2 linked regions of the Drosophila melanogaster genome follow. The protein of the gene in region 2 interacts with the protein of the main gene of each other region in a pairwise test. Each region holds a gene or a part of one and is shown on either strand. Other genes may lie near its edges. The genes, in order: CG17855 and CG8159.

Evidence for each region.
Region 1: the proteins of CG8159 (region 2) and CG17855 interact in a two-hybrid assay, tested with the Drosophila melanogaster proteins (2 studies listed by BioGRID).

The regions. Positions count from the first base shown.
Region 1 is NT_033779.5:9,538,200-9,542,127, reverse strand, and holds the start of CG17855 (uncharacterized protein), read right to left. Parts: upstream 1,606-3,928; 5' UTR 1,485-1,605; coding exon 1,430-1,484; intron 1,376-1,429; coding exon 1,070-1,375; intron 1,011-1,069; coding exon 865-1,010; intron 811-864; coding exon 553-810; intron 495-552; coding exon 381-494; 3' UTR 1-380. Other genes in the region: Oatp30B (organic anion transporting polypeptide 30B), read right to left, coding at 3,474-3,928.
Region 2 is NT_033777.3:8,724,869-8,728,796, reverse strand, and holds CG8159 (uncharacterized protein), read right to left. Parts: upstream 1,944-3,928; 5' UTR 1,870-1,943; coding exon 1,750-1,869; intron 1,688-1,749; coding exon 1,140-1,687; intron 1,072-1,139; coding exon 826-1,071; intron 767-825; coding exon 481-766; 3' UTR 427-480; downstream 1-426. Other genes in the region: ranshi, read left to right, coding at 1-171, 231-345; ouib (ouija board), read right to left, coding at 2,264-2,609, 2,673-3,145, 3,194-3,313.

The sequences.
Region 1 (3,928 bases), on a different chromosome or scaffold from region 2:
GAGGCCAGATCCTTTTGGCAGGTGATCTGTCCGCAACTCGTTTGATGGCATTAGCAAATAATTTAATTAATCGCCATTAGACGAGGGGTTTCTCTGCGCGCAGTCCAAGAAACCGGGTTACTATATCGCAAAAGTTTTGATTTAACGCAGCCGCCGAGCGTGTTTGTCGAACCTTAAAAGCAAATTCTGGTATGTGCACTGGTTAGGCGTAGTTGGTTCGGAATCTGGGTTAGTCCAGCCGTCTAGTTATTGCTCTCTGTGCGTAAACTTAGTGATCAGTTTCATCAGCTTTAGTATGGCTACTTGTTATTATGATCTATTGGTTGGTTGTTTAGTTTTTGGCTGGGAGCTATGTGATAAGATTAATCCCGCCACTTATCCTAATCAACAGGCTCGCTTTCTTTCTCCAACTTGGCGCGAATTGTTCTTTGACAGCGGGATCTCAACAATTCCCGTCTTAGGGCATTGCTCTCTGTTTCCACAGTTTGTATGAGCTGAATACAAGGAACAATCAGACATATATAATTAATGAGAATTAGGATTAAAGCTTACGCTATGGGTTAAAGCAGCTCTTTCCATAGTTTCTGCGTCGGCATCATCATCCTTGGGGTCAGATTCACTGCTAGAGGAGCAGCGCCGGGCCTGCATAGCTTTATGATGCTGTCCGGGATAGTCTTCCTCATATTTGGGCGGTGGGTCGTCATCGTTGGGTAGCGAGGCCGGCAGACTGGTCGCTCCTTCTTCTGATTTTGCCTTAAAAGCGGCTAATTCGTCCCGCAAGGATTGGTTTTGCATTTCCAGTAATTCCACCTTTAAACGAATCATTTTTACTTAAGCTTGCTAATACGTTCTAAAGCGTCTTACGCTCTCAAGTTCAAAATCCATTTCGTCAATAATGTCGTATGACTCATCAAGGGCTCTTTGAAGTTTTTCTACTTTGGCCTTCAGCTCGTTCAATTCGTTGACATCGCTTTGGGCCGACTGCCTTTTCTCCATAGCCATTCGTTGCTCTAGTAGATTTTTAGAGTATTGATCTAATTTTAAGCAAAAATTCCATTTCCTAACACACCTGCATTTCTTTGATCTAAAGAGGACTTCATTACCAAGCCTGTAAGCGTCTTCTGCCGTTTAAACATCTCCTCCAAAGCACGACAACGTTTCACTTTCTCCAGATAAGCGTCATGCAGTTTGTTGTACTTCTTCTTGTGCTTCTGCAGTGTTTCCACCAGACGATCTCGTTCCTCCTCCAATTGGAAGACCATGATCTTGGCCTCCACATTTATGGCCGCATTGGTGCTGTGGCTGGCAGATGCGCGATTTAGTCGATGGCGCAGCAAAATGTTTTCCTCCTCCAGCTCCGCACTTCTGGACTTTGCTGCAAAGGAGTTTCAATACATGGCGTATACGCAACGACATTGCTCATACGCACCGGCAGCCAGTTCTGCATAGAGAACCTGCATGGTAGATGTAGCACGTTTCTCCATTTGTTCGATTTGTATTACTTCAATTCGTAGTGGTAAAAATTACTCAGCTACTGAAAAATCTTTTGTTGCTGAAAACAGTAAAGATAAGCTATCAGCGAGTTGAATTGCGTGGATATCGCTGGCAGAGTTACTTTGTTAAGTTATTCGATTGCTTACGAACATATAGAATCGATCAAATTTTAAGTCTTAACAATTTAATTAACACTATTATTTTTTTTACCTATGTGGAACCCAAATTGATGGAAAAAGTTTTTTGTATTAATCATCAGAAATGCTAATCAAAAGATAGGCTCGTTAAAAATTAATTATTTCTTGCTCGTCTTGTTGCTTAAATAACAATGTTAATTTAAATATTATATGGTGAACCAAATTTATAAAAAAATTTTTAATAAAAATGTTATCTATATTTAAAGTACGTTAGGTTTGTGTCTTGGATATAAGATACTTGCAAACATCATGGTCACACCATTTATGTAGTTCCCTAATTCGAGTACCATCTTGTAGGGGCGCCACTGTGCCAAAATTTCAAATAACTAAAAAATTCGTTAAAAATAATGTCTTTTAAGAAAAAACAAATTGACTTGTTTAATGCAGTTTTGGTTTATTTTGTTTTTCATTTTAGGAGTCTCATTGTTTTCATTTCATACATGTCCTTATTAGTTTATTTGCAATATTTCTCTAAGTAAAAATATGTATTCCTTAAAACACACTTTTTGAGTAAACATATATATGATATATATATATATGATCTTTTGCACCTAAGACTCACTTTCTGTAGTCCGTTTTAAAATCGCTCTTCAATAATGTATAAGTTATGTTGTACAAACACATATCCCGATACGAATTATTAGCTACGCGTAGGTACTTATTAACGTACAATTGTATACATATATTTCTTATATGGATGTATCTATTTAGTGCTCGAGGAGCTCCTCTCTGCCTCCTTTCCTACTGTATGTGGCTGGTTGGTGTAAACATAGAAATAGTTGCTACTAATTAACCTAGATTGCATCACTTAGGACTACTGGGGGTCTTGCACTCGGGCAGTGCGTAGGAAAACAACCGGATGGATCGATTGAATTCCCATTTCAGTTGAGATACTGATATTATCCGCGTGTATATTTAATTGATATTTTTAAGGCATTATCGCATTTAAAGTACATCATTCGGTTTTAAAATCTAGGCTAGACACTTGATTTTCTCGCTACCATTAAAACAGGGAATTTAGGATTTTTCATAAAACTATTCCAGACCTATTCTTCATTCGAACCCATCGCTATTTTGTCCACAAAGATTCTCTAAATGATGTATTTGCATAAGAATTACATTCAGCGTATTTTCACTTTCTTTCTAATTCAACGTTTTCGTTAATTTTTGTTTTCTATACTCACAAATTGTTTCACAGCACAATTTCCATTGACAATGGTTAAATGTTCGGATTATTAAAACATTGTAATTCGCTATTCGTTTCTCTTTTCTTTCGCCAACTGATTCTCAGTCAATCGTTAAACTTCGAAACCGAGATTGCATAAAGTCGAAATAAAGCGAAACGTATGCAGCAGACTTCAAACACTTAATCGACTTTTTACGGATCTAATCTACACTCCACTAAAATACAATACAAAATATTCCTATCACAACGATCTACTCCTACCTTAAAATATGCTAGTTGCTTTCTAGGATTTCTATTCTATCGCCTGGTTACATAAATATTATCTGCAAGGATTCGTAATCGTATCTGACTCGGATTCGAATTCTGGTTGAATGTTGTATATATCAAAAGATTTCTATTTTCAGATGCCTTCTATTAGTAGATTTGAACACTCGGTCGTAAGTACAATGAGCAGCTGAGGGACGAGTCACTTCATCAGGAAACGGGCATGAACCACATACACTCAAAGTACGATGAGGCGATTGCCGCCGGGAATGGAGACATTGCTGATGTTGCCACAAATCGAAAATCCTAGCTTATAGCTACATGGCCTAGCACTAAGCACACGCGGAACGCTCCTCCTCTTCATCATCGTTATCGTTGATGAGCTCGTTACGATCGTCATCGATCTGGATCTTGTGGTGCGACGTGTTTCGCGTGTGCTGAGGATGAGCGTGCCCTGACACCGAACTGGAGGCAGCAGACTCCGGCAGCACTTGATAATTTAAATCCTTGGAATTGGTTCGCCGATGTCTCAGCACACTTAGGCCCGTGGTACTGGCATCCGTTACTACCTGACCCGAAGCAGGAGTTGCACTAGAAATTTTGGTGTTCAAGTCCTTCGAGTTGTTGCGGGAATGTCCACGTGATCCAGCTCCACCAGCTTCTATTTCATTTGAATTCTTTAGCTTGCCCACATCCGAAACCACATTCTTTAAAACATTCACATTCTTTTTGGGATTGTGATGTGAATGGGGGTGTCGTAGGAAGTCCGCATCGAAGCGTATGTTAT
Region 2 (3,928 bases):
CAAGTGCAGACACTGTTCCCGCAGCTTTTCTGACTACAGCACTCGGTTGAAGCACGAGCGGACTCACACTAACGAACGACCTTTTGTCTGCAAGGAGTGTAACAATGCCTTCACAACATCCTATATTCTTAAGAACCACATGCTCGTGCATACCGGGGAGAAGGCTTTTAGGTAAGCGGGTACTCGAAATAGTACTTAAGTGTAATAATAATAATCTATTCTATTTGCAGGTGCGACCTCTGCGATAAGTTATTCAGTCGCTACACACACCTTACTACCCATTATCGTTCAAATGCTCACAGACGAAACATGCAGAAAGCAGACACAATCTTTGATAAACCCTAAAAGGTATCACTTAAGAAGCTCTTAGTTGAAAACGGTTGCATTACCAAAATAGGAATTTTTACAAAAAAAATCAAAACGGATAATCAAATTGTGAACTATATTTGGCTTTAAAGGTTGAGATGGACTCATTAAGGTCTAGTTTGTACTATACATTAGAGTGGATGTTTCCAGAGCAGCCAGGCCCAAAGACTCATCCTGCTCCTGCTCCGCGGGCAAAGGCACTTCTATCGTAAAGGCATCCGCCTCTGCTTCTGGCTCCTTTTCCGTCACGAATTTGACCTGATCCGCTGACTGGGATGGTGACAGCTGAACTCCACCCGCGTCTGCCATCGATTTCTCCAAGTTGTGCTTATGAGTGTTAGAGCGGAAGTGAGTCTTCAAGTGGGTGGGTCGCGCAAAGGATCGATGGCACAGCTCACATCTGCAAAGGATCGGCTAGGTGATCATTAACTTAAGCACTATTTATCATAGTTTACTAGCCTGAACAGGCGCTCGCCCGTGTGGATAAGCATGTGGTTCTTGAGGATGTAGGAATTGGTAAAGCTCTTGCCGCACTGCGCACAAATAAAGGGTCGATCATTTGTGTGGGTCCGCTCGTGACGCAGGCGACCACTGTAGTTGACGTAGGTGCGGTCACAGTAACGACACTGGAACTTGCGATCTCCAGTGTGCATCACTTGGTGTCCTTTCAGCTCACCGGAGGACAGGAAGCGGGCGGGGCAGAGTCTACATGAGAGCAATGTTACACAGTTAACTATCAGATTGTACAATTGACGAGCTAAAGCTTTTCTTACTCGCACTGAAAGGGCCTAATTCCGCTGTGTTTGCGTAGGTGACGGTCGAAGGAGGACTTCCCTGTAATATTGTTGCCGCACTGATCGCAAAAGAAAACTGGAAGCGTAACCTTTGTGCGATTTTCACCTTTCCCGCCTTTCTTAAGTCCCCGACGTCGGGTTCTTTTCAATCTGACCGGTGAGGTAGTTCCATCATCTTCGGTAGAGCTGGACATCGCTTTAATGGCCAGCTCCATGTCTGCTTCGTTGCAGGAGTCCAGGTGATCGATGCCATCATCCTCCTCATCGCCATTGCTCAGGCTCTCCAGCTTAATCATTACCTCCAGCGGACTTGCTGGCGTCTTTGGAGCGGTGTCTTCATGCCGCTGTCTTTGGGAACGGGCACTGCGACGAACTGAGGAGCGGAATGTGTCCTCTTCATTCCTGACCAGCGACTCTTCAAAGATCTTCTGACTCCTCAAGCAGCGATCACGAAAGGATATGGCGCTTTTCAAATCCGTCTGGCAGGTCTCGCACATCCAGTCGGGTAAACCGGGTTCGCATTGCAGCTGCCAAATAAGATACAACATTTTAATTGAAGGAATTAATGTGTTTCGTAGGGTAGGCTTACCAGAACACCGGTGAGCAAATTGATTTGTTGCAGCACTTTGCAGGCGCCGCTGTTAAATAGTTTCAACGATTTCGAGTTGTCCGTGCTGCTGGCACACACGCGGCACACATTTTGCAGCATTTTACCAGCTTACTCGATTCTAATTAGTAAATTTCCAATTGTAAACAAGACAGCCACCCAAAACTGATTTGCCATTTGCCACGAAGCAGCGCACTAGCTTTTCCACCTGAGACGTTGTCCAGCACTGGCGACTTATAAAACCACTAAATCGTAACGGCTGCTACTAATTAAAATCAAACAATCTATACAAATTTTTTGTTTTCTGTGTCCTACACACTTAAAAGCATTAGCATTTATTTCATTTTGAGAAACAGGTGTGGTGCAAATATTGAGTATACAACTTAAATTCATAAAAATACGATAAGATAAAAATAAGATAGTCCCCTTTTGGGTATCTTTTTATCTCAAGGAGCATGTAAATCTTATTATTTCATAGCTTGAGCTATTTAATCCTTCATGACTTCTGCTTCTTGACATTTTGGAGGTGCATCATGGATCTGGTGTGCGTTACCAGGTGCGCCTTTCTCTGGAAGGAGCGATCGCAAATATCGCATCGGAAATTCCTCTCGCCCGTGTGGATGACCATGTGGTTCTTTAGGACGTAGGCAGTGGTGAACTTCTTGCCACACTCTTCGCACACATAGGGTCGATCGTTGGTGTGAGTCCGCTCGTGGATCAGCCGGCCCATGTAGCTGACATACCGCTTTTCGCAGAAGCGACAGGCAAACGGTTGCTCCCCAGTATGTACCCGGTGGTGGGCACGTAGTTCGCCAGCAGAGAGAAACCTGGCATCACAATCCCTAAAAAGAGAATATGGAATCAGCATACCGAACCTACAGTTGTAATCTGTGAGCGAGGTTTACTTGCAGCCAAATGGTCGTTCGCCTCTGTGTTTTCTCATGTGGCGCTGGAAAGTGGGTTTCGATGTGGCATGAGTCCCGCACAGCTCGCATATGTAAATCTGATCATCCAGTTTGGTTGATACTTTGATAATCTTTTGTGAAGGTACACACTTCTCATCTATTCCATCTTCCCTCAGCTGCGCTTTCGCATCTCTATTCAGAGTTTTGTCCATGGGCTCCTCTTCAATCAGTACCTGAAAAGTTTCTTCAACCAACTCGCCTTCTTTCTTTTTCCCAAAATCGCTGAATGCGCATTTTTCCGATTCCAGTTCCGAATTGTCATTGGTATCTTCATCACCCGACGAAGAGTCGTCCTCGATGGTTAGCCATTTAGTTTGGGTCTTAATGCAAAGCTTCCGGAATGCCAATGCCGATCTGAGTTCCGCCTGACAGCAAAGGCACATGAAACCAGGAACATCGTCCAAATCCACCAACTGGTGCTGATATTATTTATCTCAATTTTAAAACGTCTTTTAACTCACTCTTAGTCCGCTTATCATGTGCAAGTGCTTTAGATATTTTCGGTTGACCAAATCGAAGAGATTCAGGCTCTTCTCACAGATTTTCTGCCTTCCGCAGACTCTACACACGATGTTCAGCATCTCGATCACTAAACTCGACTGATGGAAAGGCAATTGTATGGTGATTACATTTTGAGGCAAACCAGATAAATTATTCATTCAAGGCGGGGATTTTTGAAAGTCAAAATCTTTATTTAAATAGCTATTGATCTGTTAACAACTGGAGCAGTCTGATAAAACAGATACTGCTTATAATATTAAAACTTAATAATAGGTGTAAATAATATTGGTCAAATCGTTAAGCTGAACCATTTCATGGGTGCTTGAAATAAGTACGACCTGCATGCTAATAATGCGCAGGATCAATTTTTGAAAACAAAACATATAGCTTCATATTTCTGTTTCGGTAAATCGAAATAATCCACGTAAAATGTTTCGTAAAATGTATTTCGAAAAAGATTTGATTCTAAATTCAATGTTCATTTTTGTACCTCATGTCTGAATATATTTTATTTTAAAACTAGCCCAATAAAGTATGTATGTATAAGATAAGACTATATAGGCACTTTTGTTATATTCAAGGAAGCAATTGCAATGCAGATGTAAATTACGCAAAAAAAAATAGCAAAAACTAAAATTTGCAATAACATGGCCACTGTAAAGTGTTTTTTAAAAACTACGTGCTAAAAAAAGCTA